Lytechinus pictus: one gene and its partner. The protein of the gene in region 1 binds, or shares a complex with, the protein of each later gene. Links are inferred from orthologs where the notes say so. Each region holds a gene or a part of one and is shown in the gene's direction. Other genes may lie near its edges.

What was found.
Region 2: the proteins of C-Jun-amino-terminal kinase-interacting protein 4-like (region 1) and ADP-ribosylation factor 6 are in contact, whole or in part, in a crystal structure (PDB 2W83), measured with the Homo sapiens proteins. The link is inferred for Lytechinus pictus from reciprocal best matches to the Homo sapiens genes SPAG9 and ARF6. Residues at the interface, in NP_001124000.1 of Homo sapiens: Lys431, Asn432, Ile435, Val438, Asp439, Thr442, Cys443, Asp446, Val447, Gln449; in NP_001654.1 of Homo sapiens: Glu13, Arg15, Lys34, Phe47, Val49, Glu50, Thr51, Thr53, Lys58, Asn60, Trp62, His76, Tyr77, Thr79.

The regions. Positions count from the first base shown.
Region 1 is NW_026974140.1:2,999,255-3,015,481, reverse strand, and holds the start of C-Jun-amino-terminal kinase-interacting protein 4-like, read left to right. Parts: upstream 1-10,237; 5' UTR 10,238-10,277; coding exon 10,278-10,318; intron 10,319-11,396; coding exon 11,397-11,444; intron 11,445-16,227. UniProt on the Homo sapiens protein: The JNK-interacting protein (JIP) group of scaffold proteins selectively mediates JNK signaling by aggregating specific components of the MAPK cascade to form a functional JNK signaling module.
Region 2 is NC_087250.1:26,842,722-26,859,299, reverse strand, and holds the start of ADP-ribosylation factor 6, read left to right. Parts: upstream 1-9,308; 5' UTR 9,309-9,962; intron 9,963-12,563; 5' UTR 12,564-12,881; coding exon 12,882-12,963; intron 12,964-16,578. Other genes in the region: resistance to inhibitors of cholinesterase protein 3-like, read right to left, coding at 4,418-4,559. UniProt on the Homo sapiens protein: GTP-binding protein involved in protein trafficking that regulates endocytic recycling and cytoskeleton remodeling. GTP-bound form plays an important role in the transport of multiple palmitoylated proteins form the Golgi to the plasma membrane.

The DNA.
Region 1 (16,227 bases):
TGATGTAACAATCAACAGACCGAACTGCATGAGCATGTTTTGCATCAAAATTCATAAATTTCATTTGAAAAAAAAAATCAATTTTTAGGTGTCATATAAACCAAATAATTAATGTTTTTTCATTCGTGCAATGGACAGAAGTACTTCATTCAGTGAAAGATGAAATAATGATCCATTCAACTCATCTTTCACCTCATGAAGTATTCTGTCCATTATTTGTATACTAGTTGACCTGACATGACCTAAGAAAGGGAGTGAGTAGCCACCTCTGAGGGGTTTATTTACAATGGATAAATGTGTCATTACACAAATTGATAAGGGGTGGTGTCAGTTTCATGTGGTAGTTGATTGATGGATTAAGAGCTCTCTACCAGTTGAGCTGTTTATCATAACCTGTCTACACCAAGCTGTACAATTACAACATGGAGCTATTTAAAGGACACTTGTCCACTCCAACAAAAAGTTGATTTGAATAAAAAGATAAAAATCCAACAAAGATAACACTGAAAATTTCATCAAAATCGGATGTAAAATAAGAAAGTTATGACATTTTAAAGTTTCCCTTAATTTCACAAAACAGTTATATGCACATACTGGTTGGTATGCAAATGAGTAGAGTGATGACGTCATCCACTCACTATTTCTTTTGTATTTTATTATATGAAATATTCTAATTTTCTCATTGCCAAGTGAAACAACGATTAATTCCTCCCTGAACATGTGGAATTAGCATTGTTTAATAATATATGGTTCAGTCAAGTCGGTCCTTATTGTCAAATTTGTAAAAAATGAAATATTGTATAATTCAAACAATAAAAAACAAAAGAAATAGTGAGTGAGGGACATCGACTATTGTCACTCAGTTGTGCATATCACTCTTTTGTGAAAAATAATCGAAATTTTGAAATGTCATAACTTTCTTATTTTACATCTGATTTTGATGAAATTTTCAGTGTTGTGCTAGTTTGATTTTTCTCTATCTATTCAAATCATCATTTTTCTGGGGTGGACTTGACCTTTAATAAACCTCTCTACTTGTACAGTATAAGCTTGGGAAATAATGATTAGACATAGGCTGCGTTTATGCGACCTCAAGCCAGAATCATGATTTGAATCATGATTTGAATCATGATTCAAAACACAAACATGAATCACAATATCACAGAATCAGCGTTTAGACGACCTTCATTCCAATGCTGTTTCTCCTCAGATTCGGGCCAATCCAGTGCGCATCACTAGTGCGCAGTTTGACAGAGGAAGTTTTTCGCACGTGTTTCGGCTCTCGAAAAATCTTTTGCTTCCAGAATTCAGTCTATACCTCATTTTGTTTACTTCTATCATATAGGGTCCATATGCTTCTATTCATCTTGTTAGTTTATCCAAAATGGTGTTCGGAAGTGAATTTCAGCGTAGATCCAATTTAGTATTGATACTGTATACTCAACAACTGAGATCATTGTCTGTCCAGTTAATTCATTTACTATAGAACTTGAAGTTGAAGACATGACCAATAAATGAAAAGTAGTGGACGATGCGATGACCAACACAGAGCTTGAACATGACAAGAAATGCATGCGTAGTACATATTCATGTACATACAGCGCATTGAGCTAGGCAAGAGTCAAACCGAAAGTAGCCCGACACAACAGTGAGGTCATAGAATCATGATTCAAATCACGATATCGTTTATTCGAACATTTTCGTACGTGATTCTGCAGAAACGTCTTTCCAAACGCCCCTTTTTTCGTGTTTCATGTTTGTGATTCTAATCATGATTATATTCAATTTCGACTAAACGCAATCGTGATTCTGCAGAATCATGATTTGAATCATGATTCAGATCATGATTCTAGGGTAAAAAAGTGGCGGATAAACGCACCCCATGTCACATGGAGCTTAGTAGGAAAGTGGTCTAATTATTTCCCAAAATGTACATGAAGGAAAAGGAAATCCATGGAGCTATTTTGAAACACTCCTATCTAGTGGCACAATAAGTCAATTTGAAGGGGCCAGACTTGGCCTTTCCGGAAAAGTTTTGATCTTTTTTTTTAGTAGACAAACCTAATTTTGTGATATATTTGACATACCGTTCTTTTATTTTTCTTTTCTTTCCTTTCCTCACTTTTTTCTTGGTCATGAATTTTCTTATCCTCTCACCCTACATGTATATATATGTACATTAAAATGAATTATGCATATCTGCAAAATTGGGTTATGAAGGCAGATTCTACCACAGTCAGATGTACATGTAGACCTACGTTATTTATTCATTGGAAACACAATTAGTCACATTAATTAGCCATAATCGAGAAAGTGGGAGAAAGAGCAACTCAGAGATTGAGAAGAAAAAATCACAATCAGGAGAAGATTTTGGTGTGCCATTGAGCTCTTATCTGTTTTATAAATTGTGTATGATATAACAAGGTTCATATTCTTTTCACTTTACTAGTTGACAGCTAACTTCACATCCTACAGCATGTAGGGCTTACATTCTAAATTGGCAAGTGCTGATCCTGTACGTAGCCTTCCGAGTCTGGTCTCATGTTTGGTATTGCTTTCTATTATTTTTTTTATATATTTTGATGGTGTCTTTAAAAAAATTTAGACAAAAAAAAAATTGGTTTAAAGTCAGTGCTTTGTGAACAAGCGTTATTATCTTTGAATTTGATGGTATTACGATAATTAACAAACAAACATTAGATATGGCTCTGGCCCCACCACTTTTATTTTGAACATTCTTTTTTTATTAAGGGATCACAACATGATTTTCTTAATTGAGTTGCAGTAACAGCTGAACATGTGATACAGTATGTACATGTAGAGGTATATGTCTGTAACTGCAATTATACAGATGATCATCATGTTATTTCCTCTTTGAACACATATGCGGTTATTTATGATGATGCTGAAAATAGATTACATCGGAAAGTACTTGTACGCTCAAATTAAAATGCACACACAACATCCATATGTAGAAACCATCCATTTGTATTGAGTTCCTCAAAACATATGCTGAAAGCATTGTGCACAGTCATACATCTAGCATGCTCATTGAGGTACTGCATACTCCGTCTCCTTCCTTTCTGAACTACCGTACTTGCTGTCTGCCTCTTCAGATATGTGCATTCTCCGTGCATTCGCAGAAATGCGCTTGCACTTGAATTTCAATGCTTGTATTCTGGGCATGTGCTGACTCAGGCAAGCTTGCTTTCCTGCAGTGGTCTTCATGTGTTTGATGACCAAACATTTCAGAGTCAAAAGCTGAGATACATCATGTACATGTACACCGTGTTTTGTATGAACATTTTAAGAGATTTGCATTTAAAGTGATCATGTTTAGGAATTGCTGTTCCTGTGATATCAATTCAATTCGACCTCGAAAATTAAATGCATGTTTCTAATATATTAAAAGGCCGATGGTTCACTATAAATCCCTATTGAAAATGCCTTAAGTACTGGTTCACTACTCCATATTGATTTAATGTCTAAAATGGTTCACTATAAAGCCATATGGATGTCTTTGTTAACGTTTTGCCTATTCACTGAAAACTCTTGGACAAACCATGTTGCAACTAAATAATTTTGATGTCATTTATAACAATGAGTGATGATAAACTATTCCACTCTACCAAATTATGAATTGGCTTTTTTTTTTAATTCAGAAAATAAAACATTCAGATTTTTTCTTTGATGTTGCATTAATTTTGATTTTGAAATGGACATTACCCTGCCATCAATAATCCAAATTTCCCCAAATAATGAGATGTCAGATCAAACAGTTTATGCATACACATACATGTATAGACATGTAAAACAGCATAGTAAATGATTAAAGGCCATGTTTTTGTATTCAAGAGAATTATTCTGGAAAAAAAGCTTAAAAAACAATTAATTGAAATTAAAGATTGTTTCATGAGAAGTTATTTTAAAAAAAGAAACCAGCATACACCTGTATACCTTAATACACATATACATTTTAATGGAGATTGCAATCAAGAGAAAGTCATGTTTCTGAGACTCTGACACCCCATGTACTGTACATGTAGTCTTCTCTTTTTATTTTCCCCCTTTTAATCATAGATATTGAGGATAAGTTCAAGATGTCTATGTAATCTTGTCTGATTGAGAAGCAAAAGAAAAAAGAACACTTTGATTGTTAGGAAGGTTAATTTCAAAGATATCCGGGAGGAGATTTGTCGATTTGATATAACAATAATTAGATACAATTGCAATGCAGCTTTTGATCATACGTATTTAATGACACATTATACACATTACCAAATATTAGTGCTTCCATTTTTTGCCAAATAGGTATTAAATTATTCAATGTCAATTTTTTAATGCTAGAATTGAATTACAAATTTGTTCTTGACTGATTTGTTTACCGCATCTTAGTAGCATAACTTTAGCTGTTAACTTGCCATTGATTACAAATTTATAAAATAGGCCACGTTGTTCGTTCCCTTTAAAGTGTGAGTCATGTACTTGTAGGAGACATTTCACAGACTGAAAACTTAATTTAGAAAGCATCTGGGCCCCTTAACACAAATGTAATGATCAATAGCAAAAAAGGTAATGACCAATCAAGATCCTTGTTACATTTGCATTTCATTGAAAAGACTGAGCTGTAACCAATCTAGAGTTGATATTTCAAATGTGCGATTGATTGCAAACCGTTGTGTTACAGGGCACTAATCTGAATCTCTCTGACCAGAAGAGGCAAGGGACTTGCTTTCTAATCAAAATTCTCTTTTATCTAGAGGGTGTTGACACTGGGGGTGCTTGAGTTGATGGGTACAATTGTTTTATCATATGAGCTCGAATTCAAATTGATTAAAGAGCCATCAGGAAGGCAAACTGATATTGTCTTTTCAAGGACCCATTGTCGAAAGAGTTTCATTTGAATGCAAAGAGAAAATGACTTGTGTATTATGCTTCTGTTTGGCTGAAAATCAAGTCCATTTGATTTTCAGAGTTGTGTTTGATTACAGGTCTTTCTGCAATACATTCTCAAATCTTATCAGTTGGATTCCTGAAGATGAGGGGGCGCTCTCTAAAATAAAAGTGTGTTTTCGCTTTATATTCTGTAATCATCTCGGTGATCACTTGTTTAAACAAGACCCTGGCCTGGGAGATCTAAGCACTCACTGAGGGTGGAAAAAATATTTGTGCTTAAAAACATGGATTCTTGCATTTATTTCTAGCTTGTATATCTTATTTAAAAAAAACAAATAAAAAAAAACGAATTAAATTCACTTTAGATTAGCTTTAAATTCATGCCTAAAAAATAGCTATTTTTGTCTCGCCTGCATAGCAGAGCGAGACTATAGGCGCCGCTTTTCCGACGGCGGGGGCGGCGTCAACATCAAATCTTCACCTAAGGTTAAGTTTTTGAAATGACATCATAACTTAGAAAGTATATGGACCTAGTTCATGAAACTTGGCCATAAGGACAATCAAGTATTACTGAACATCCTACCTGAGTTTCAGGTCACATGACCAAGGTCAAAGGTCATTTAGGGTCAATGAACTTAGACCATGTTGGGAGAATTATTTTCAAAATCTTAACCGAAGGTTAAGTTTTTGAAATGACATCATAACTTAGAAAGTATATGAACCTAGTTCATGAAACTTAAGCATAAGGTCAATCAAGTATTAGTGAACATCCTACCTGAGTTTCAGGTCACATGACCAAGGTCAAAGGTCATTTAGGGTCAATGAACTTTGGTCAAGTTGGGGGTATTTGTTGAATTACTATCATAACTTTGAAAATTTATGGATCTAGTTCATGAAACTTGGACATAAGGTTAATCAAGTATGAGTGAACATCCTTCCTGAGTTTCAGGTCACATGACCAAGGTCAAAGGTCATTTAGGGTCAATGAACTTTGGCCAAGTTGGGGGTATTTGTTGAATTACCATCATAACTTTGAAAATTTATGGATCTAGTTCATGAAACTTGGACATTAGGTTAATCAAGTATCACTGAACATCCTGTACAAGTTTCAGGTCACATGACCATGGTCAAAGGTCATTAAAGGTCGATGAACTTTGGCCATGTTGGGGGCATTTGTTAAATTACCATCCTAACTCTGAAAGTTTATGGATCTAGTTCATAAAACTTGGACATAAGAGTAATCAAGTATCACTGAACATCCCCTGTGAGTTTCAGGTCACAAAAACAAGGTCAAAGGTCAGTTAAGGTCAATAAACTTAGGCCATGTTGGGGGTATTTGTTAAATTACCATCCTAACTCTGAAAGTTTATGGATCTAGTTCATAAAACTTGGACATAAGAGTAATCAAGTATCACTGAACATCCTGTACAAGTTTCAGGTCACATGACCATGGTCAAAGGTCATTAAAGGTCGATGAACTTTGGCCATGTTGGGGGCATTTGTTGAATTACCATCCTAACTCTGAAAGTTTATAGATCTAGTTCATAAAACTTGGGATATAAGAGTAATCAAGTATCACTGAACATCCCCTGTGAGTTTCAGGTCACAAAAACAAGGTCAAAGGTCAGTTAAGGTCAATAAACTTAGGCCATGTTGGGGTAATTGTTGAATTGCCATCATAACTTTGAAAGTTTATGGATAGAGTGAATGAAATGTGGACATGGGTGTAGTTGACAAGTCTTAAGTCACCGTTCAAATGTCATTTATGGTCAATGAACGTGGTATTATGTCATTATATGAATGGTGTTTTTGTAAATGATTATTTTATTGTAGTTTTCAAAGTTAGCACTGCTGCTATATTAAATCGCGTAATGCAGGCGAGACTGCCAGAGGCGTTCCACTTGTTAATGTTATGAAGACCCAGAAATCTGACCCCAGCCCCCTATAGTTTTTTATTCCACATTTTGTTATATGCATACTACTTTTCAAAATCAATGTTTATAATGTTATATTTATCACTTACCAGTAATTTTCACTTCAATTCAGTTTGAATTCAATCCAATTATTAGTGAATCAAAATTGTTATTTTTAACTTTACAATTAGTAATGAATTTACATTGTCATTATACTATTTTAATCAAATTTTGATATTTATATTCCACAATTTTTGCACTCTAAATATTATTACATGTATAACTATTATTCAAAGATATGTTCATGTATTTCATTATAATTTTTTTATGTATTGATTCATGTTAATTTATATGTAAATTCATCTCAATTCAGCTTGGTCGCCATGATATATGTTTTTTATCAAATAAACCATTTATCTGTCTGTCTATCTAGCTATCTTATCTATCTATCTACATGTATCTATCTGTCTGTCTGTCTGTCTATATATCTTATCTATCTATCTATCTATCTATCTATTTCTATTGAATAGAATTTACTTATTAAAGCTTCTATCGCCCTCTCACAGTAAGGTGTTCATTTTTGTCTCGCCTGCATAGCAGAGCGAGACTATAGGCGCCGCTTTTCCGACGGCGGCGGCGGCGGCGGCGTCAACATCAAATCTTAACCTAAGGTTAAGTTTTTGAAATGACATCATAACTTAGAAAGTATATGGACCTAGTTCATGAAACTTGGACATAAGGTTAATCAAGTATTACTAAACATCCTGCCTGAGTTTCAGGTCACATGACCAAGGTCAAAGGTCATTTAGGGTCAATGAACTTTGACCATGTTGGGAGAATTATTTTCAAAATCTTAACCGAAGGTTAAGTTTTTGAAATGACATCATAACTTAGAAAGTATATGGACCTAGTTCATGTAACTTAGGCATAAGGTTAATCAAGTATTAGTGAACATCCTGCTCGAGTTTCAGGTCACGTGACCAAGGTCAAAGGTCATTTAGGGTCAATGAACTTTGGTCAAGTTGGGGGTATTTGTTGAATTACTATCATAACTTTGAAAATTTATGGATCTAGTTCATGAAACTTGGACATAAGGTTAATCAAGTATTAGCAAACATCATGTGCGAGTTTCAGGTCACATGACCATGGTCAATGGTCATTTAAGGTCAATGAACTTTGGCCGTGTTGGGGGTATTTGTTAAATTACCATCCTAACTCTGAAAGTTTACGGATTTAGTTCATAAAACTTGGACATAAGAGTAATCAAGTATCACTGAACATCCTGTACGAGTTTCAGGTCACATGACCATGGTCAAAGGTCATTAAAGGTCAATGAACTTTGGCCGTGTTGGGGGTATTTGTTAAATTACCATCCTAACTCTGAAAGTTTATGGATCTAGTTCATAAAACTTGGGATATAAGAGTAATCAAGTATCACTGAACATCCCCTGTGAGTTTCAGGTCACAAAACCAAGGTCAAAGGTCAGTTAAGGTCAATAAACTTAGGCCATGTTGGGGTAATTGTTGAATTGCCATCATAACTTTGAAAGTTTATAGATAGAGTGATTGAAATGTGGACATGGATGTAGTTGACAAGTCTTAAGTCACCGTTCAAATGTCATTTATGGTCAATGAACGTGGTATTATGTCATTATATGAATGGAGTTTTTGTGAATGATTATTTTATAGTAGTTTTCAAAGTTAGCACTGCTGCTATATTAAATCGCGTAATGCAGGCGAGACTGCCAGAGGCGTTCCACTTGTTTCTTTGAAAAGGGACTTTTGAGCATGTATCTATAAATGAATTAGCGACTGGATTTAGTATGCCACAAAGAAATTTATTGTGAAATTTTCAGCTCATTCCATATCGAAATGTTACGATATGTAAATATATATTTTTTTAAAGAAAATTATATGTATAGTTTGATTTGAATTGAAATGTTGCCCTGTAGTTCTAGGAAGTCTGGGATTTTATTGAAGATTTCAAACCCCTGACACTGTCAAGTTGGTTTTTGTAGTTACTTAAAGGAGAATGAAACCCTTGAAACCAGCTGAATCCATATCAAAGAGAAAAATCAAAGAAACATATTGTTGAAAGTTTGATGAAGATTGAATGAATAATAAGAAAGTTATGAGCATTTGAATATTGAGATCACTAATGCCATGTAGTTCCTCCCATTGGCAATGCGACCAAGATCTGTGATGTCACACACGTACAACTCCCTCATTACTTTAGTACTTATTTCACTTACATTCTCACTTTTATAGTCTATCACAAGGCGAGGTGTTCTCTTTATGAGAGGACAAGTACAGAGGTTTCACAACATTATATCATTGATGAATCGTTTGTCATATGATTAGAATGAGCAAAAAGAGATGTTTTGGGGTATATTTTCAGTGTCCAAAAGGGGAGAGTTGTTCATCTGTGACATCATAGATCTTGGTCGCATTGCCAATGGGAGGATCTCCATAGCATTAGTGATCTCGACATTCAAATGCTCATAACTCTTCTATTGCTAGTCCTATTTTACTCAAACTTTTGTTGATCTTATTCTTTTATTTTTCTGCTTTCACAAAAGCTAACTTGCTCCAAGAGTTTCATTCTCCTTTAATATGTAGGGCGTCAGTGCAAGAGACAACTAACAGCCACAAATCACAAATATTATGCTTCCGAAATCTCTTGATAGTGATTCCGCACAGGAATCCCCATTGGGGAATCCCATGTGCCACAAGCAGCAAAAGCCCTTTTTAAAAAGTTGGTGGCAGTTGCATGATACCTGTATATTCAATATGTATTTAATAAAATGGTTAGTAGTTTTAATTTTGAAATGTTTATTCAGGCATTGATGATTTTGTCATTTGGTATGCCATGGTAACATTTATATAATTTTTAGAAGATATTGTGCAAGTGTTTTTGAACCCAAAGCACAGATTCTTCATTTTTAGCAATGAAATATGATATTTACCACTCTTGAATGAAGAAATGCATATTCATTAGGAACTCATGAATATGTATTGTGCTTGCTCGTTGGGCCAGTTGTGCAGTGGGTACATGTGCATGCGTGCGTGCTCTCAGTGTAGTGTATGTATACACACGTTATTCTCTGTCATCTCACTCTCTCTCCCATCTGTCTTTCTTTCTCTCTCTCTCCCTTTCTTCTTCTCTATTACATGTATAAATGAAATCTTTATTTTAATGAACAAAATTAATTGTATTAACTGAACAAGAAATGCTTTACCTTAATCTTATCATGTTACCCTTTTCAGAGTTTTTATTTGAAAGAGACTTACTGTGGTCATCAAATTCACTGTACAATGCATGTTGTCATGGTTTTTTCACGGTCTTCTTTTTGCATTCTCCCCTTAATTTTTGTAGATGGCTTTACCAATTTCATTCACTATCTTTCAAACTGTCTCTTTTCTATTCAGGTTGTTCAGAAGTACTTGGAGTATGTTGACCGGGTCAAGATGATGGGACAGGTTGATACTACCACACAACAAAGGTTCAGGTAGGGGATTTCCCTTTATAATCTGATACCACCATCCCCCCCCCCCCCCCACCCTTCTACAAAATTGCATAAAATATACTATATATCAAGAAATGCTGCTGTGAAATGTGAAATGATATTATTTGGGATCTTTGGTTAAAATGTAAAGGCACTGTTCACGTACACCATGGATCTATTACACTCACACGCCAACTCAGATTTTTTTTTTTTGAGGGGGGGAGCTAGTATTTTCAACTCAAGCTCTGCAAGTAAATGAGCAGTTTTAAATCAAGTTGATCAATGTTTTGGCCTTATTTCTTTGTCATAGTGGTAAGAATTGTTTGGCAACTTGAACACAATCCTGTTCATGGAGACATGCTCATTTTCTATAAAAAAAAGGAAAAAGAAAAAAAGGGGATGTTTTACGAAGATTTAAGTGTGACTAAAATTCATGCTTAAGTGCCACAGGACACGTATTTTACATATAGACTTCTTCATTATTACACAGAAGCAAACATCCTCCAAGCATTGTTTGACCATTATGCATTATATACCACACACAACTGGGTATTTGAATTTAGTTGCTTTTAATACTGCTGAAGTTTGTTAAATGCCCCTTCAGATCTCTTCTGCAACACATAAATGAAATTGAAATTCATATTTATCAAAGGGATGATGGTACAATTGTGGTGCTTTTTCTATGGTCTACATGTATATTAGTTTATAGACCTTATAATCATACTTTGGTACTTCTGTTTGACACCTCTATAAAAAGCTTGTCGTTCTTTCCAATCTATCCAGTACTATTTCTCATGTGTACTGTAGGTATCTGTTGGAATGGATAATTTATACTCCTGCTATGCAAGATTTTGTTTTTATATTATCATTTATTCATAAGGGATGATAATCATATGACATTGTGATGAGTACCTTTTCAGATATTTTCTTTGTATTTTATTCAAGGGATGAATCTTAATAAGTAAAATTGATGTAAGATATAAAAAATCCATTTATGATATCTTGGTTTGAATAAAAAAAAATTATCAGAAATCATAGCACATCAATGAATTGGCCCCAAAATAAATCCTCTTTGATGCAGAATGAATCACGAGCTTGGATCTCCGACTTATTCAAGGGGGGATGATGAGTATGAGAAACAGATCATTTCCTTTGTAATCATTACTGATATCTTACAATATCATACTCACATATAAATATGCATACATGTACCTTTGACTTGAGAGTATTAAATGCATGTTTTCTTTTGTTGAACTAACCATCAGTATTATATGATATGTAGCTTGGAAAGGCACATTTGGTTCATCTAACTTTAAGAGCATGGTTGGTTTTTAGTGCACAAGTGCATATTTTATTTTTGTAAATATATATCTATATTTGGATAAAAAATGTACTCCTTTATATATTCTTTAAGTTTAACAATAGTTTAATAGTCAGTATATTCTGCCTATCTCTTCATACACTAAAATGGACTAAAATAGAATGAATTATTTAGTGATTATTTGGCATCCACCCCCAAAATGATAGTAATAAATGAATACATAAATGGGTAAATGAAATTTAATTTAAAAAATAATCAATAAGTAAATAGATGAATGCATAAATAAATAAATGAATAATTAAATGAATGAATAAATAAATGAATAAATAAATAAAATAATAAATGAATAAATAGATCACAATTTAAAGAATGTATAATGCTTTAAACGCATTATGGAGTTATGGTTACAATATGTAAAATGTTCATTTCTTGATTAATTTATAAGGTGGCATTGAAAAGATGTTGGTTGATAGCCTTTGTATGTTGTGTTATTCATTGAATGATGCATTCTCAAACAATTAAAAGAAACTTGCTTTCAATTGCAAGTCAAATACCATGTCCTGACACAACATAAATTTCCTACAAAGTGACTGATGTATCAAACTCTAAAATCATTCACAGTGTCATTGTCAAAATGACATACATTCAATACACCAGCCTTATATTGTAATGGCTTAGATCTTTATAAAACAAAAGCCTAAAAGTGCAGTTGATTGCAGATTTTATCCTCTCAAATGAGCTGATATTGTGTGGTTAGGTGAAAGAAGCCGAGGCATCATTTTTCAAACCACAATAAACAAGTGAAATACAAAATTCAGATATAATGACAGATAATTGCATTGTAAGCAATTACTTTCAATTATGAAGGCGTATGGAAAGAGACATTCTAAATTCTAAGCCAACATATTACAATCCTTATTTCCTAATAATTTAACAATGATTATTTTATATACAAACAGTGATTTGAGCCTGGAAGTGTTTCAACAGTGAAAATTGTTTAATGATCTTGTTGACTTACATAGTTTTAGTTGATTTTTGTCAAATAAAACAAGTATAGTATATATACATGTACATGTAGTAGCACAAATATTATTTCCACAACATGACTTGGCTTTTTCTCCCTTCAAGAAATTTCATCTGAAATTTAAATCAAGTTTAATGCTAGAAATGTATCTATACATCACCCTCTTCCAGTTGGGTGGTTGGGATACATGTACATGTATATTGTACACCTATTGTAACAAAACTATCCTTGGTGTATATTTATATTTATTGTACACAAGTAACAGATTGACTTTAAAATAACATGTATGAGCGATTGCATTTGTTTTTATTCCTTTTCCTTCCTTAATTCCAACCAACATGTTTTTCTATTTGTTTTATATACAGATATCTTCCCATTTTCTAGATCTTCATTGTAGATGAGAGAGAAATGTAGAAAAGAATGTTTGTGTATAGTGTATTCACTGCCTGCTTGCATTATTAACTCCTCATCATTATGGCCACTACAAAGGCTAAGTTGGACTTGATTGTACTTTTAATATTCATCTGATTAGGGTTCCAGCCTTTTTTTGCTCAATTACATCTTGATTTTGATGATTGTAATGAGTGTTCATTTGACAAATATCATTTAAATATTGTGCTTTTGTTTTATTTGAAAACTAATCTGATTAATTAAAATTAATTAAATCAATTTATCAAAATTAATTGATCTGTCAGAATGATATATTTTAAAATGGTGGTTACCCTTCGTACAATTTTATCTAATGTTATTATTCAGAAAAATGAAAAATAATTTTTAGTATTGAATATGTTTGTTTTAACGAATGGATATTTGCTTTATTGCTTGGAAAAGTCTGGAACTCCTATTTGTTTAACATGGTTCTGTTTTGTTCTACCATTCATATCTAAGCCATATACCAAAATTTTATGGATAAAAAGAAAAAAACAGCCCAGTTGCAATATTCAAATCTGATCCTGAAGTATGTTATCTTAAATTTCACTATTATTAAACTGGCTTCTCATGCCTAATGGAAAGAAATACATCTTTTTCATTTCCTTTATTATCAGTCCCCCTATTTTTTTGGACTTAGTTACCGTACATTTAGGATGAAAAGAGGTGGAAAAACAACATGACAAAAATATGCAGATATATGGCTTAGATATACACTTTTTATCATTGACACTGTGCATGCACATTGCATTTTGAAATTTTATATTGCATGGATTCCTTCCCTACTCACACCTTCAACCCACCCTCGAAATCCTATCCATTACTTATATTTGCATGGGGGCATCTTTCATAATTTCATAATTTCTTTTCCAGGTTTTTTTTTCATTCTCATTGTCATCCTGAGGGCTATTAAACTTTTAAATAGTTTGAGTAGTCTGGTTTTATTAATAAAACAGTCTTACTTCTCCCATATTTTCAGCATTTTCATTTTATCCTTTGTTTGGGACTTTGGGAGTATTATTTATTTACAATCAAAACTGCCATCAAGTGACTCCAGCTTATTGAGGATTTGTGTATTGCATCATGGGAAAATAAATTATTAGTTGTGGTGCAGCTGTAAAATAATCTGATTCCCGCTTCATAAAGACTTGTTATAGTAACAAATGCAGATTTGCTATAACAAATTTTACTATCAGCCAATCAGACAGATGGATTTCAGTAGCTTTTAGCTCTTATTGCAAATTTGTTATTATAACAAGTTTTATGAAGTGGGTCCCTGAAGTCACTTGAATTAGAATAATATAATTCTATCAAAATTTTGAAGAGTTGATTTTGATTACTTATCATTGCAAAATTTTTGTTCAGATTCCAAAATATCAATCACAGCATTTATTATTCTATACTCGACACTCTTGGGTCATTAGGCATCACAAAACATGTTAGTTCAAATCTCTGTTGCACCTTTTCTTGGATTTGTACAAATGGCAATGGGAAACTCACAAAAAAAGTGCATTTGAGATTGGCATTTCCATGAAAATTTGGTTTCTGTAAACACAAATATGCAATTGTTTCATTAACGATTTCTGTATTTCCACCATAAATTTTGTGCAATGCAGGCTCTTTTAACTTCTTAGCCATTAACATGGATCAATACGAAATGTTAGCTTATAAATATAAATGAACAAAAGTAGAAAAATAGCCCTAATTTTTCCTCAACTTTCTCCCTATGTACTGCATTTCAGATATATGTTATCTTCATTTCATCTGAGAAGCACAAATGCACCCATGTTGACCTAACTGGCAATGTTTTAGTAATTTTTATCATTTTTTGTGATTTTACTATATTATTTTGATAGAAGCTTTGTACTAGCTAGCTTAAAATTGGCCTTTCACATGCTGGCAGTTGGGGGCGCAATTGATTGTAAATTAATCATACTGGAGCTTTTGTACCTCTCATCTCTTGGATGACAGAAGGGTGCTTATAAGGATTTTAGTGGATATAATTAAATTGGCTTCCAACAGATGATGTTTAAAAATAAATCAGTTATTATATTGATCATTCATATGCAGTTCACCTTTGAAATACTTTGCAAACCTACATGTAAATGTTAAGTCACCATCTATAAGGGTGGAGGAGTGACAAGTTTTTTTTCAAATGTTAAATTCAGTTTTGACTGGGGTTGATTCAGCGCATTGATGGTTGAATTTGGCACAATAAAGTTTTATCTCACAACAAGAAAGTTGTTAATCTGACATTTGAAAATTTAGTCATTCCTCGGCAATTATAGTATAAGAATTTTTTCTTAGCACTTTCTTTGCACCTAATTCCTGGTATTTCAGTTTTATTCACACAATTTAGTTTAATTTCACATGTGTACTTGCCGGTGATTAATCAATCATATTTGCTTAATAATTTTTGAAGTCAACATTTTTGCTATCATTTCTTTTATAGCTTTTATTTGATTCCTTAAATCATACCTTCCAAATTCATTTTATACAGTATTCTTTTAGACTTTGAATGGAAAAAAGACCCAGCCCCTGAAAAAGTACCCAAAGAATTTACATTATATTGTCGCCTTCCCGCAGAAAGGCCGTTAACGTATTTTGGCGCCAAAAAAAAAAAATTGAATTTTGTTATATTGCTGAAATGGAAAAAGCATGTCCCGAACTTTCTTCTGGTACCATTCTCGAACCTGAATGTGATGTCATTATGACATAATAAGCAAAAACATTCCCACTTGCTTTAGCATATAGACGCATTCTTAGTCTGGGAACAAGACGCTTCTCGTTCAACGTGCGTGTGCGCATAGACCGATTCGGGCTAGCGGCCTTCCTGCGGTCACTGGATCAGCGGATTGCACATTTTTCTTCCCGGAAAAAGGGTGTAAGGTATTCCTTCTTAAGATTAGAAAGCGTAGATTAGAGTGTTTTAAATAAAACAAACAAAATATCAATGAAGAAAACATCTTTGTCAGAAAGTATGAGAATTAGGACAGAAAATAATACACTAGCTGCTTAAAGCACAAAAATAAGGTCAAAACATAATTTGCGTTTTCTTAAAAATGTACTTGCACGTTAACGGCCTTTCTGCGGGAAGGCGACGATATGGTTTATACTGTTTATGCAACAATAAAAAAT
Region 2 (16,578 bases), on another chromosome or scaffold:
GGCGCCATTTTGTAAAATTAAATGATTGATCATATCATCGCAACTAATCATAAAAAATCATCCATATTTGCATCATATCAAGTTCAGGTGACAGGTCATCAGGACATGTCATCAGAGGTCATGACGCACATGTACGCGGGCATCAAAATTTTAAAATGCCCCAAATCGACCGTGGTCAAGTTTGGGTACGTTTCAGGTCATTTTTAGCTTTTCAAGAATTTGCGCGCGCACTGGTATGCGTGCGCGTTCTTGCACCTGCCATCGGTATACATCTTCGAGTCATCATTTATTTTATGTCTGTCCATTGTCCATTATCTTCTGATTAATTTGATACCTCATTCAGCCTCTTACGACCAATAATACAGGAATGCGCGTACATTCAAATTTGCATTACTCGCGCGTGCAAACTCGCAAAAATAAGTCATAAATGGGCAAAAATATGCCTACATGTATATAAAATTCACTGTAGCTCTTCAGGAAGTCCGTTGACCCCCAATTTTTCCTCACTCTTAGATATACTCAATATCTCATTTGGAGATTTCGTAATTACCTCAAAATTACGTTAGAAGTGAAATTTACATATTTTCACAACATACGTCAACGTATTTATGCATATTTGACTGTATCTTCGTTATTAATGTTCAGTTTTCTCCCAAATTTTGATATGATGTGGTGAAGACAATTCTCTACAAATAACGTGTGAATAATTTCACTTTCGACCACAGCATCAATGTGTTATGACTTGTTTAAGTTTTTGCTAATTTTTTCTGGACCTAATTTTTAGAAATTTTTGTTGGAAATGTTTTATTAATCAATTGTACGGTCTTGCTGAAAATTTCAAGCCCACTTGCTTTGCGTTTTTTTATGTAGGACATTGTTCTTGTACATTGCAAACTACGATACGGTACCAGTACATCTTATCAAATAATGATCTGTGTCTTTCCCGCCGTAGGAGGAAGAAACATTCACATTTCTTGCATCACAAACTCACAATCACTTTCAGAATTTGTCTAGCATTCGATGTCTTAGCATGAATTTTGGATACGGGATAACAGGAAGGTTCAAGAAACAAATCACCAACATTAGCAATATCATTATAATCATCACGATTGTCATCACCACATCACTGAATACCCGGTAATCATATTTAGCAATGGTCAAAATTTATTCCCATGATGTCTATGATCGAGATTATCAATCATATCTAAATCATATCTAATTCATTTCATACATTAGCCTACACTGAATGAAAATCGAAAAATCATGACAGACCACCTAATTCGTCCTCATGACGAATTAAAATCTAGTTTTTACTAAATTTGAGGGAAGTATTCTCTATTTATTTCTTTCATCTTTTAAAATCTATAAATTTATTTCCTTTTTGTCGTTTTTTTCATCCTTCCTTTATTCCTTCCAGTCCCCCTTTCTTTCCTCTCTTTTTTTCTTTTTCCTCTTTTTAAAATTTCCTTTCTTTTCCCTTCCTTCATTCTTTCTTTTGCATTTTCTTCTTCCTGCATCTCTATTTCCTTCTTTCTTTCTTTCCTTTCATTCCTTCTTTCTCCACTTATTCCTTCCATTATTTCTTTATTTCATTCTTTTATTCAAGGCTCCACATTAACTTTTTTTGGTGGTGGCCCGTTCGGGCCACCAAAACCTTCAAATAATTTTTTTGGTGGCCCGATAGTAAAGTTTGGTGGCCCGAAAAATATAAAGAAAAACATTAATTAAAAATTAATAAAACAAACTTTTGAAATATTAATTCTGCAGCCACTACCACTAAGTTACTTTCACTTTGTACATCTTGTATGTAAATCTTGTTTGCTGTTATTTTACTTTGCTAATTGATTTGTGGTAATATATAAATTGTTCTATAATAATAATAATAATAATACAGGTATATTTACCCAGGGAAGCCGCTTCAGTTCCGAAAACTGTTCTCCCAGCGGGCCCTGCTATTATTGTAAATCTATCATTTCTATCATTGTAAATTCTATCTATCATTGTAAATATGAAATGATTGAAAGAGAATAAAAGAATTGTATTGTTCCCAGGTTGTGTGGACTTTTTTTTTTAATCTCCGTATAGACACACTCTCATAATGGTAAAGTAAATAAATAGTGCATAGCAAACTCAATAGATGTACAAAACAATGATTTTTCCTTTCTTCCTTTTTGAATCCTAAAACCGAGATTATGCAGGCCCCAAATCCAGTTTATTTTCTCTTTTCCAGCATATTATAGCAGGAGAAAATCACAGAAAAATATGCTGCAAAATTAGAACAATGCATAAAAGGGGGAAACAAACAAAAAATAATTTTTAGAATAGTATATAAAAAAAAAAGAAAACAAAAATAATCAAATAAATAAGTGAAATAAAACAAAAGAATGAAAAAACAAAGAACAGGAAAAATTAAGGAAAGAAAAAATTTAGAGAAGAAAATGAAAGAAAAATGAATAAAACAAAATTAATAAAAAATTGGGAAAATTGTTATAATTTTTCAGTAGATACATATTCTTTAATCAGGCAAATTCAATGGGAAGGAGTATAAATGGTTTAACCACTATAAAAATAATAAAAAAATTAAAAAAAAAAAACGGCAAAAGTTATATCTGGAAAAAACAGTGTGAGAAAAGTCCTTCCCTATATTTGCCAAAATGCTAGAAAAATTCACATTTCATATCAATGAAATGCCTTCCAAAGTATTTACTTCCTCAAGAGTGGTTTAAGAAGTCATTTATAAACAAGAAAGAAACCAAGTATCAACATACATACAAATGCACACATGGGAATGTGATGTACTCACCTATGTGTTTTATGTAATGCATTTGGAAATAATCGGTCTTTTTGAGTCAAAAGAGAGGTCATAATTCCTCTTTTTAATGCTTGCAAATAATCAGGTTACACCAGATTTTAGTCGTATGGACTGTAGAAGGGCATTTCATTGGTGTAAAAATAGTAAAATGCGACTTTGACGTAGATTTTCAAAGTTCTGTGGAAGATTTCTTAGCAGCAACATTTCGTATCGCAGCTCCCCGAGTCTGAATAGTCTGCTTGCGCACATCGAGCTGCAGTGGTTTCATGCATGCAAAGCTCACGCCAGACGGCCGGCGCGGCCAGCTGGACAATTCTCCACTGCTTTGTAATGTTCCTTTCCTCCATGACTATGCAATCTTTGTGTGTAGATTAACAAAAAGGGCACATGATGAATTGGCTTGCAATTTGAACTGTAGAAAGTTGATAAATGCGTGCAAAATCGGGAGAAAAATTGCGCTACTTTGAAAATTATTGGTTGCCCGATTCGGGCCACCAAAACTTAACATTTTTTCAATAATGGTTGCCCGAGGTGAATTTCTGGTGGCCCTGGGCCACCGCTAATGTCGAGCCTTGTTTTATTCTTAAATTACTTTTTTCCCTTCTTTCTTATTTATTTATTTTCTTTCTTTCTTCCTTCATTCCTTTTTTTCTGTTTTCCTCCTTTTTCTTCCCTTCTTTCTGATGAATGTTTTTCTTGGCTTTTCTTCCTTCTCTTCTTTTCTTTCCTTCTTCTTTACTCATTTTTCTCCCTTCTTTCTTTACTTCTGTAATTTAATTTGTTCCTTTTTCTCTATTTTTTTTCTTCCTCTTCTTTTTTCTAATTCTTTCTTCTTTTACCTTTCTTTAATGTTTGTTCCCCTTTCTTTCAGTCCTTTTTAGGTTTTCGCTTCTTCCTTCACTTCTTTCTTTACTTTTTTTCGCTCCCTTTCTTAAATTCTTTTATTTCTTGCTTAAATTGTTCCTTCTTTAGTACTTTACCTCTTTCATTTGCATTTTCTTTACTTGATTTCCTTCTTTCTTTCATTTCCCCTTTCTTTCCTTTTTCTTTCTTTCTTCCCTTTCCTGCTTCTTTCTTTTGCTCTTTCCTTCTTGACTTTTCTGTAACACTAACATCATTAATTATTTAGTTCTTTTTCTCTCTATCTTATATTTTTCCTCTTCCTTCTTTTCCCCTCCTTTCTTTTTTTTCTTTCAGTCACTTCTTGAACTTGAAGTTCTTCCTTCACTTCTTTACTCCTCTCTTTTGCTCTTTCTTTTCTAAGTTTCGTTCATTGATTTGAACCCCCCCCCCCCTTCCCTGCCTAGTATTAGTAAAAAAAAAAAAGCTAGCCCTGTACTAGGCATAGCCCGGCTAGTCAAGCCGTTTAAGCTCCAGTCATGCCAGTTAGCCGAGCTGAGCGGGGCGCGACCCGTCGTAATGCCTGGCAATTGGCATACAGCTGCTCGCAAACGCAGGGCCAGCCTCCGACCGCCGGGAGCCAGTGGTAGCCCCTGCATCCGAACACGACGAAGAACAATCTACGGTAGACTACAAAAATGACAAAATTTATCTGTTCTTGCTTAATTTTAAAAAAGGTATTTGACACAGTCTTAGAGATCTTACCGGGCATTTGTTCTTTTTCTTGCTTTGGTGGTGTTCCCCCAAACCAACTCCGGAAAATTGAGCTAAATATTGTCGGATATAAGATGGCATTACAAATAATCATTACAGCGATCACAAAACAGGCAGTGTGGTAAAACGCCATCTTGAATTTTATTGGTTCACGGATATTTCTTCTGATCGTGATCCGGTTATCCGGCCAACAAGCCACCACCGGATACAATTGATCACAAATGGAGGGGGAGGGGGTAGTGTATCCAGAGTAGTGTCTAATAACTCTGGTTTTATCGCTCATAAATAAGTTCCCGTCATGTAAAAGGGGGCGGTAATCCAAAAATGGCTGATAATTTTTTTCGGCATTATTCTGGTTTAAGTCACCACTCCATTCACTGCCGTTCATTTCGTCAGCGGCGGTGACTTCTTTCATCTCCCATTGACTTTTGTACACAACGAGCGCATACACACTGACACACACGAGAAGAAAGGTGACTTATATCAGGGTAGGGCCATTTCGTCCCCTTTCCGCTCGTATGAAGAGTTTCGTTGCAAAAGGGGTTAGGTCCACTTTTTACCATTCCGATAAAAACCACGTTTTTTTATTTTCACTTACTGCAATACTCTTATGAGAAACTAAATTGTCATGATGTACTGCCCTACATGTGAACATAAACTTGGGTATAAAATAAATCTACCTGTCTTCAATTTTTTTCTATATATTCTTTTAAAAATTATCATCGTGGACCTAACCCCTTTTGCAACTAAACTGAAATGAATCCAATCTATTTTGATTAAAAAAGTGATTTTTCTTTGCCACTTTTATTCACGTTTTCATGTGAATTTCAAATTTTCGTTGTTTTCATCAGAATGACTAAAAATTTAGATGATTTGAGACAGAAAACAATAAAAAATTATGAACAATGGACCTAACCCCTTTTGAAAAATTAGCTTTTCAAAATAAATTGTTTTCAAAAGGGGTTAGGTCCACTCCAAGAAAATCAAGTTTTTTTTATTCTCCCATATTGCAATATTCTTATGCGAAACTAAATTTTCATGATACCCTACCATGAGAACATAACATTGGGTATAAAAAAAATCTACCTGTCTTCATATTTTTAAAATATTCTTTTCCAAAAAATACTGTGTGGACCTAACCCCTTTTGCAGCCAAACTGAAATGGACCTAACCCCTTTTTGAAAAAAAAGTGATTTTTCTTTGCCATTTTAGATCACTTTTTAATGAGAATTTCAACTCTTCTTTGGTATCATCTTATAGAGCTACTAAAAATCTATACATTGAGACAAAATATCAAATTTGATGAAAAATGGACCTGAAAAATGGTCTGAGCGTTTCAATCTCCAATGATCAAAACCGTCTCTACCCTCCACGTGTGCAAGTTTTTGTTCTTATGTAATAACACATCGTATGGAGATGGACTGCAATTTCAGATGAAGAGATCGAGGTCAACAGGATTACCTCACCTCGTAACATGATGATGATGATGATGAACCCCTTTTGCAAGTGAGCTCTTCATAAATTATACTTCTAATTATTACAAAAAGTACATTTCCAGTTTTCTCGTCGGAAAATGAAAAATTAAAACTCACGTTTCTTGCTCGCATCAGTTCTGTTCATCTATTCTGTACATGGTAAAAAAATGCTAACAATTTCCAGATTAAAAGTCAAAAACTTTTAAATTTTCAGTTCGTATAGATAGGCCCTATTATACCTATTCTTTTCATAAAGTGCAAAAAATTTCGGGTTTAAAATTCGGGAAATCTAAAATTTTCAGCTCGCGCTAAATATAGTTTAGTATCATCTTAATAACCACGAGAAGCAAAGTTTTTCAGTCTGAAAATGAAAATCTTAAGCTTGCACTTTATTGTTTGGTTAGATAGCATAATTATGTTCATTTTGACAAAAAGTGCTCAAAGTTTATTATACTGCTCGCACTTTGCGTTCGCATTATTATGACTGGTGACAATATCATTTTTATGAGTCACTGGAAACCGTCATTAACAGATCAATAAATACATTTTCAGCTTACAACTGAAGACATGGAAGATGTCTCTTTTTCATAATTTCATTGTACAAAAATTTAAGCCCGCGCTTCGAGCTCGCATTTTTTTAAAAATTAGATATACATCGTGTTCATCATGACAACGACTAATTCAAGGCACTTTTCTTGTCTGTATTTATTTCCATATAAAACAAAATATATATACATGATCAAATTACAAAAAGAAAAAGAAAATCGTCAAATAAAATATGGAGGATCGCCCATTTCAGCGGTATTAACATAATGCCGCTATTCTTCCATGGGGTCCTTTAATTGCAACGTAAATACATATTATAAAAAATAATATACACTGTAAATACACAATACTTAATCGAGTGCATTACAAGAAAAAATGCAAAGACTAAAACTAAATTACGGTAAAAAAATATCCCATTGTGAAAATGCCCCCCTCCCCTTTAACCCACCCTCTAACTATTGATTGCCTAAACGCCCAATTTAGTCTGTTATTACACCGATAGTCTGTTATTACACCGATTGTCTGAATGTGTCAATTTCATAACTGAAAAATTTTCGTACCTTGAACCATCATATATATTTTGTAAACCCTTTCATTTTTCAGTTTCTCCGATCTAAATTTATTTGAAATATAGGAATGGCTTTTTTATTGTTTGTGTAGGCCTATATATAGGCTTACTTAGTAAATCAATTATTAGTTTCATAAGCCATGATAGTCCTCAGTGAATTTAAGTTTGTTTAATACCCAAGATTATTTTTCAATTCTCCATAAGCGCGAATTCATATCACATTTTTACACAAATTCCCAATATGCCGTGGGGGGGGGGGGGCATAGGCTGATTCGGTGATCGGGTAATGAAGCGGGCAACGGTGCCTTGCCCTACTGGCAGCGCAATGAGGTACCGAGGTAAATAATAGAGAAATTAAGAAGAACGTAAGATCGGAGGAGTAATAGAATCGAATAAAATATAAGGAGAGGGGAATAATTGAAAAAAGGGATAAGTTTCAGGTCAGAAGTACTGATATAAAGGTTTAAAAAAATGCGATTTCGCAATGTTGCCTATTAAAAGAAATAACAAGAGTATTATGGGCTTGCAATAACCCATTATCAAATTAATGTGCACAAATTTTTCTGTTCGCTATTCGAGTTTCCATTATTTTCTTATACGCATTTTATTCAAAGGTCAAATCCACCCCAGAAAATTTTCGATTTGAATCAATCGAGAAATATCTAATAAGAATAACGCTTAACAAAAAAATCAGATGTAAGTAAGAAATTTAAGACATTTTAAGGTTTTGCTTATCTTTCACAGAACAGTTATTATGCACAAATCATTGACAGGCAAATTAGTGAGTCGATGATGTCCCTCACTATTTCGTTTATATTGTTTGAATCGTACAATATTTCATTTTTTTAGAGATTTTACAATAATTAATTACCATCTTGGCTGAGTCATATAATTGTAAATGTTCAGGGTGTGTTTCACAGGAGAATTATAAAGGAGAAGAATATTTCAAACAATGAAAAAAAAAATCGTGAGCGGGTGACATCATCAGTCCCTTTATTTGCATACTATCACTGTGTTGCGAAACTTTAGCAAAAGTTGAAAACGTCACAATTTTCTCATTTACATCTGATTTTGATGAAATTTTCGGTTTTATGCTGGTTGGATTATTTTTTTCTTTTTTATTCAAATCATCTTTTAGTTGCATTTTGTTGGGTTGGACTTGTCCTTTATATAGTTTTGAAAATGGGGCTGAACATAAATGTAGGCCTATATATATATATATATATATATATATATATATATTCACCCAACAAAGGAAATTATAATTGGTATGGTGTCGAAAATCTGTCTATTTGACGTTCAATCGGATCGGGGTCGCCCTAGCCACTGACCCGTCTCTGCATGCCGGTGGTCTATAGTGGTTAAGGCACCGGCGTTCAAAGCTGGGGGCCCGGGTTCGATTCCCGGCAGATACATTTTTTCGGCATTGCCAATTTTTCCAAAAGGGCAGATAGCTCTGGGGAACCTTAATTTAAGCTACGCATACCATTGTTCTCTTCATCCATTTCTTTCACAATATATTATATATATATACCATTGTTCTCTTCATCCATTTCTTTCACAATATATTATATATATATATATATATATATATAATATATTGTGAAAGAAATGGATGAAGAGAACAATGGTATGCGTAGCTTAAATTATGCGTAGCTTAAATTATATGCCATGCACCGCTATATATAAAAGGTTCGCATTGTTTATATGCCATGCACCTCAGCGGCTGGCCAACTTGAACAAAATTATCTTCAGGTAAGTAGGCCTACAAGAAATGTACGAATTAGAGCTCGTGCTTTTAAAGTGTTCCGGCGTTCTATAGTGAGACAATAAATCAATTAAGGAAGAAAGAAGAAGAAGAAAAGAAAATAAGCAACAAACAAACAAAAACAGCAATGATCGATTGAATTTGCATTTCCTCCATTACTTCTCATCAGAGAGAGAGTTACACGTATATAAGGACAGTCTTTTTCCCCTACTCTTTCTTCCCAGTGGCGGCAGTGGGATTTCGAAAATAGAGGGCAAATACAAATAATAGGCAATAGTGTCTATATTTCCCACTACATTTTTATGTGGTAGTGTGTGGGGGGTGCATCAGAGGCGGATTTACATTTCAGTTTTCAGAATTTCTGTGGGAGGGGAAGTGCTCCTGACGGAAGGGGGGATAACCCTCACGTCCGTCCTCTCGCGGTGCCACCGATGCCATTCCCCTTCCTCATTCCACTCCTTCCATATCTATCCCAAGGCAAACTTGAAGTTGAAGGAGCTTTGGCCTTGTTCCCCTCTCTTTCACATACTTGGGAAGTGCACATATACGTACACCTGTACCTGCGCCTGCGTCGTCTTTGAGGGGGAATTCCCGCCATGAATCGGATTTAATCAAACGCTCAAAATTACAAATATCGGAGCTTATTTGCAAAATATCCTTACTTCATGCTTCAGAATGTAGACAATTTGTAAACTTTTTAGCATAAAATAATTGCGAAAAAATCCTAATAATGAATTTCTTATCAATTAAATACACAATTCTCAACATGTGGGACTTACATTTTACCAATAATTTTGGAACGAGCCTGTTGATAACGTCACCACGCCCATGACAATTCACTTCAAAGCTGATATGTATTCATGTACTTTTTAAAGATTTCATGAAAATTTGTTTCTTTGCTCCAACAATAAAAAATATAAGTTAAGTTGTTATTTTTATTATGAATATAAACTCACATAATCTACTTTAATTCAGGAAATAATGCAAAATATCTCAGCTTCAATGAGAACTTTATTTTTAATCGCTCAAATATTATGCTTTGTACTGCGGTTTCACTCACCGCGCGCGTATAATTTACTTCCCGTGCTCGATGAATGAAAAGAAAGTGTCAAACGTTACTTTTTCTGCATTCGACTCTTGTCCATCGTCGTCACAATGTTTCGCTTAAGGACATTTGAGGTAAATAAGACGTAATTTATGTTCTATTAAGCGTTTGATGAATGTTGGTGATTGAATTAGGGACTTATTTTATTCCCGGAAGTCGGTAGTGTATGCTTGCGGCACGTTCGTGTACTGAAAGTTACAGAGACGTCGGGTGACGTGAGCTGTGTGTGTGAATAAGGTGAGCTGTGTGATAAGTCATCTCCCTCATTGATGCGTGCGATTTTTAATGCACGCACTTCGGCTAAACCCCACACGTTTTCGTGATACAGTATTCAAGAAATAACATGAATTAAGTCTAGACTAAAGTAGTGTTGTTACCCGCAAGGCCGCATGCAACTTAACGCAAGTGTAATTTGAAAACCAGACCCGGCCGTACCGTAGTTGTACTCGTAGACCGTCCCATATTGCCATAAACTTTCAACTTAATTTAATTAAAGACAAAAGTCAATGTTCTGTCGTTAACTTTATTATTAGAAATTAGAAATACAATACTAGATCGAGCAGCCATTAGATTGAATTTAGAGGTGGTGGTCAGAAGAAAATTGAGATCTTCCCACTGGTATTACAGGCTGTAGTACTACTAGTAGTACTAGTAGTAGTAGTTAGTAGTCATGGTAGGGTGACTGCACACGTCACAGAGCAAAAAAAATCGCCCTTTTCACCGCATTCACACAGCCAAAAATTGTCATGGTTTTGAGGGAAAAATCAAAGTTCAATGCATTTCTGACATATGATCCTGGGAAAGAGTTATCTATGCACCCCCCACCAAAACTAACAAAAGATTGTCGAGACTTAAAGTTTGTTCACTTCAGATTTTTCTATTATTTTTTTACTGTTGCTTTATACATGAAGATACCTTACTTACAAAACTTAGTTGGGACTCGAACTCACCTCGTTTTATCTGCAGTCAAGACCTCTTCCCGCTATGCTAGCGAAAAGCGCTGATACCGGAAGGGGTATTTTAACAATTATCAGCTGATAGTTCGACTACATGTAGTCTTAACTCACAGTCACTCATAGACCCTTTACTGACTAAAAATAAACCGATGTCTGGACAATTACACGCACTAGATCCTGCGCGAAATTTGACAGAATAAAGCCATATTTTGGTATGTATTTCCACTCCCCCATTATATATGTTGTATATTAGGTCAGAGATATTATTTTGAATCTTCTCCATGTTTTTATTTTCAATTTTAGTGGGGGGTGCATATGGAAATCTTGCCTGATCCTGTTTAGTGTTGGGCGTCGTCCAAATTTAATGATTTTGGTATAAAAAGAGGAAAGACTGCTCCAAATAACCTACTTCGTTTACATCTTTTTACTAACATAATTTTGATGTGGCATTTAAAAAGGAATTTTAAGGTCTTGTATCTTGTGAATAAACATAGATTTTGCATGTCTATGTATTATTGCACTCAATTCAACACATTCACTGAGAAATGTACAAAAATAAATGCTCACTTTTGGCATAGGGCGCTATAAATGTATGTATGTTGCCATGATTTAGTGTCCTATACCAAGAGCATGCTTACATTTGTAATACATTGATTACTGGACCTTCCTCATTGTACTCAGCTGAATGAAGCACGATTGTATACAGAAAGTCTGAACAGGCCTTGAGTCGAACCCATCGTGGCAAACATTTCTGATGGAATTCATGCCTTATACATGTATGTTCTAAGTTCAGGGTTTCTTTTATAATTTCCTCTACATATTTTTGGTTCTGAAGTGCAGTTTGCTATTGTGAATGATCAGAATAGAACTTACTGCCAATAACCCTTTTCTTACTCTTATATTTTCTTAAAAACTGTCCTCTAAAAGACTTGGATTTTTACATAAAGATACAAGAACTTTGTTTACTATCAAGAAAAGAAAAAGTTTACGGGGAAAATGTAACTATTAAAGTCTACTTTAAAGTGGAGTGGGGGTCTTAAGTGTTGACCACTACGTAGTACATCTTTAGTTTTGAAAGATTAACCAGTCAATAAGATCAGGGGCCCGTTGCAGAAAGAGTTGCGACCTGGGGCCTGTTGCAGAAAGAGTTGCGTTTAAACACAAGTCCCGAGTACAGGTGCTTCATTGACTGAAAATCAAGTTGCGCAAGATTTTTTTAGTTGCGTTTGATCGTAGCTCTTTCTGCAACGGGCCCAGATCTTATTGACTTGATGTCAATTGCTCTGAGTAAATATGAAGGATTTGTTCATGTTTTGATATAAAGTTTATAAATCTTTTTCTTTTGAGTGAAAAAAAATAAAACTGCTTCAACAAACTGCTTCAACAAAAAAAGTCAATAATTTGTACATGTTTCAATGGAAGTGATTTAAATCAATGATTAAAAAAAAAATCATGGTGATTTGAATCGTGATTTAAATCAGCCAAACCTGAGGTTACTTATTATGCTTAATATAATGGGCTTGACTCGCTCCATGATGGCGCACATTATCTGCGATGACCCACGCTATGGACAAATTATTTACCAAATAGTAATTACGTACATAAAATTTTAATTTTAGTTGTAAATAATTACTATTATATAATATAACAATATGTTCTGAATTTTGCTCTGCTTGTTGTAATGAGCTTTTTTTCAAATTTTGTTATTTATCTTGCCAGGTATGAAGTCTCTTTTCTGACGAAAAAGGAACATCGGAAGAGACTTTCAAAGAACAAAACATACCACTGTTGTCAGAAGGGAAGTAGTCTTGACCCTCACAGAATACTGTGCATGGGACTACACATTTGAAGAAGGAACACACAGAATACTGTTTATGGGACTACACGTTTGAAGAAGGAAGAGTTGCAATCCTACATGAAGAACAGTTAACAGGACCAGAGTCGATCCTCTCATTCTGTGAATTGTTGAGAGTGCATCAGGGAACGGACAAAAGATTCTTTGTATCGAAGAAGAGAGAAATAAAGGACTCTTTCAAAATGGGTAAAATGCTTTCAAAGATCTTCGGCAAGAAGGATCTTCGGATTCTTATGCTAGGATTGGACGCTGCAGGCAAGACAAGTATCCTTTGAAAAAAAAAAATACAATTAAATAATCCAATACTCTAAACACAGAGCTGGGTATACGTTAAATTGTACAGGTGTACATTGTGATCATCACAATAATAGTACGTACAGCATTAAATGCATTAAGATGCTTCTAAGCACTCTTTGTTCACGCCGGTCATGGGATTGTGGCATGCCCGCACACAATGTATGCACCAAGACCTTCTCCACTCCCATGGGAGCATTCCGAAAATGAGTTCCAAGACGCTATCGTAAATTACATATCATTTGTACATGTACAGTATGTATTCTACATGTCCATATCATAGGAGTTCATATCCTATTAGGTACCATTTTAACACCTGTGGACTATTTCATAAAGCTGTTTGTAAGTTACGAATGACTTTACGTACGACTGGTGACCATTTATTGTGCTAAATGATATCGCTATGTAACTGATTTAGCGCCTAAGAACAGGTTCCAGTCGTGCGTAAAGTTGTGCGTAACTGTACAAACAGTTTTATGAAACACCCACCTGGTTGGAGAGTGGCAAAGTAGTCTGCATGCACAGACTCATATTTGATACTTCAACCATTAACAGGTCTAAAGTCAAAGACTAGACTCCTAAGACTAGTGTCTGTGTCAAAATAGAGCGAGCCACAGTACACAGTGAAAATGAGTGAATCTAGTCTCTTCACTTCAGACTCTGTATAATGTATCAAATGCAAATTGTGAAAACCAAAGGTCTGTGACTGCAGACTAGTGGCAAAGTGTGTTGATTATTAAATGCCTTGCTAAAGGATGCTTGCATACATGTATGTAGCCTGCTGATTGTATGCAAACATTGGTTTGGAAGAACATTTAAGATCGCTTCCAAGACTCCTATGCGCCTCTCTTGTATGTTTAACTGGTTTCCAATATAAACTGCTTTCCAAATATTAAACCTAGTTTGAAGTAGATATTTGTGATGACTATACCATGTAGATCTTCCCATTGGCATTGTGCTTAATTGTGACTAAAGATCTACATGTATGATGTCACACACGTTTAATTTTCCCCATTACACGTTTCGCGATAGCTCAGTCGGAAGAGGGGGGTTTCGGATTCCGCTGACCCGGGATCGATTCCCACTCAGTGTGCTAGTGCCCTTTGGTAAGGCATTAATCCTCATTACTAGGTCCCTCGGAGAGGACCTTAAGCTGTTGGCCCTCTGGTTGCTTGCTCTCAAGCATTGAATGCTTTCTTTAATAGCAATTAGGTAAAAAAATCACCACCATATTCTCATTGGTCTAGTCTGTCGCAAAGTCTGTGGAGTCTTTCATCATCTTCTAGTCTGACAAGTTGTTAGATCTGACAACTTTCCTTTATTTTGATTGGTTCCTATGGTAACTGTTGGATAAAAGAGGACTTTATCAGGTAGGATAAAACGTCTGACAAGTCCTTTCAGGAAACGCCCCCCCTGGGCTCCGTAACACAAAGGTTTGCGATGAATTGCAAATGTGAAAGAACTGCACTGATTGGTCCCTGGTCAGTATTTAAAACCTCATGCGCGTGTAACATTGATATTGATTGGTCAGTTCATTTAGCGATTGATCGTTAATCTTTGTGTTACGGAGCCCTGGGGAGTGTTTCATGAAAGGACTTGTCAGAAGTTTTATCCGACAAGTTCCATTTTATCCGACAGTTACCATAGGAACAATGCCTCTCAGCCAATCAAAATCAAGGAAAGTTGTCAGATCTGACAACTTGTCAGATGAAAATGTTGATGAAACACTCCCCTGGTGTTCTATTCATTGAGAGGACGTTGCAATAGAGGTTTCACAGTAATATTATTGTCCTGTTTGTCCTATCATTAGAATGAGAAAAATCAATACATGTATGAGTATATATTTTCCAGGGTCTAAGAGGGAGGGGGGTGTACATGTAATGATGTTTGATGACATCACAGAACTTGTTCACATTGCCGATGGAAGGATATTCCTAGTAACGGTGATCTCAACATTCAAATGTTCATATTAATCTTTCTTATTGTTACAAAGTCTGATTTCACTCGAAACTTTGTTTCTCTTGCTCTTTGATTTTTCTGCTTACACACAAGCTTACATGTTCCATGGTTTTCATTCTCATTTAATGGTCAATTCCACCCAAACAGAGAAAAATCAAGCAAGCTTTAGGTGAAAGTTTCATGAAAAAGTGGTCGTCATATTGAATTAAAAAAGTTTTGCTTGATTCCACAAAACAGTACGAAGTACAGTGTATGGTATGCAAATCCTGGCCGGTATGCAAATGAGGGAGGGGATGATGGTCACTCCCTCACTGTTTCTTTTTTTAACTTCATATCAAATATGAAATATTTTTATTTTCTCATTAAAATGTGAAACAAAGGTCTCTCCTTGAACTTGTTGAATTGCCATTTGCTACAGTTAATCAATGAAGAGTTTTTACATGATTAAATCTGCGAGAAATGAAAATGAAATAAAATTATTTGCAAAGAAACTTATTTTATAGTCGATGAGTCAGTGAATTCTTTCCCTCTCATTGAATCTTTGTTCCTATTACTGTTTTGTGAAAAATGAACAAATTTTTAGGATGTCCTAACTAATATTTTTCATTCGATTCTTATGAAATTTTTACTTTTATGCTATAAAGTAGTTTATTTTTTTCCTATCAATAACTATTTGTTTGGGTGGACTTGCAAAAGGGTTTAATACACTTTATACTCCAGGCTGAAAATAATGATTTGAACAGATGAAGTAAAATTAGACAGCAAAACTTAATTTCATAAAAATTAGATAGGGAATAACAGTGCTATGACATGTAAGTTTTGTATTATTTCGGTGAAACAGTTCTCTCTCGTGAATATGCAATTTAAGCAAGCAGATGATGTCATGTCCCAACATTTTTTTTTGAGGTATTTTATAAGAAATCATATTCTAAATCATCTTCAGTCTGATTCAGAGAAATAGAAACATATGGAGTGACTAGGGATTTAATGTGTAAGATATTTAATGCTGTAACTTACCCCGGTACATGTACAAAGGAGATACAAAATTATGAGATAGTGATTACTTGTGATGGTAAATTGACAATGTACTGTACAGAGAAGAGAAAATGGGGACATGACAGCCCAACTGTCTACACTGTATTAATTGTTAAGTTAATTTTTATGAATATGATGGCATCACCATGCAAATAAACTGTTTTCACAAACTATTGCTAATCTTTAAAATACAATGACATTGTTAAATCAGATTATGACAGAACTCCCAGCGTTACTTCTTCGTACAGAAAACTATTTGTTTTACATAATGTACATTGTAGGCTACATGTATGTCAGTGTAAGCCAGGATCATGTGCATTTTTTTATACATATATTTTTACATACATGTAGGACTGTACATTATAGTTGAGAGCTTTTCTCTTGTGACCAAAAATGCTATTCAAATTTGTAAAGCAAAATTATTCCCTGGGTTAATTAATATGAAACTGTACTCTACAGTATTTTCTGTACCATACAGTGACTGAAAGGAGACTATGTAGGCAGCAATGTGGAGAAGTATGAATGTGTATAGCCAAATAGCAAATACTAATAATGCAAGAATGATTCGCTTGCTGTCAGTACTGTTCGTAG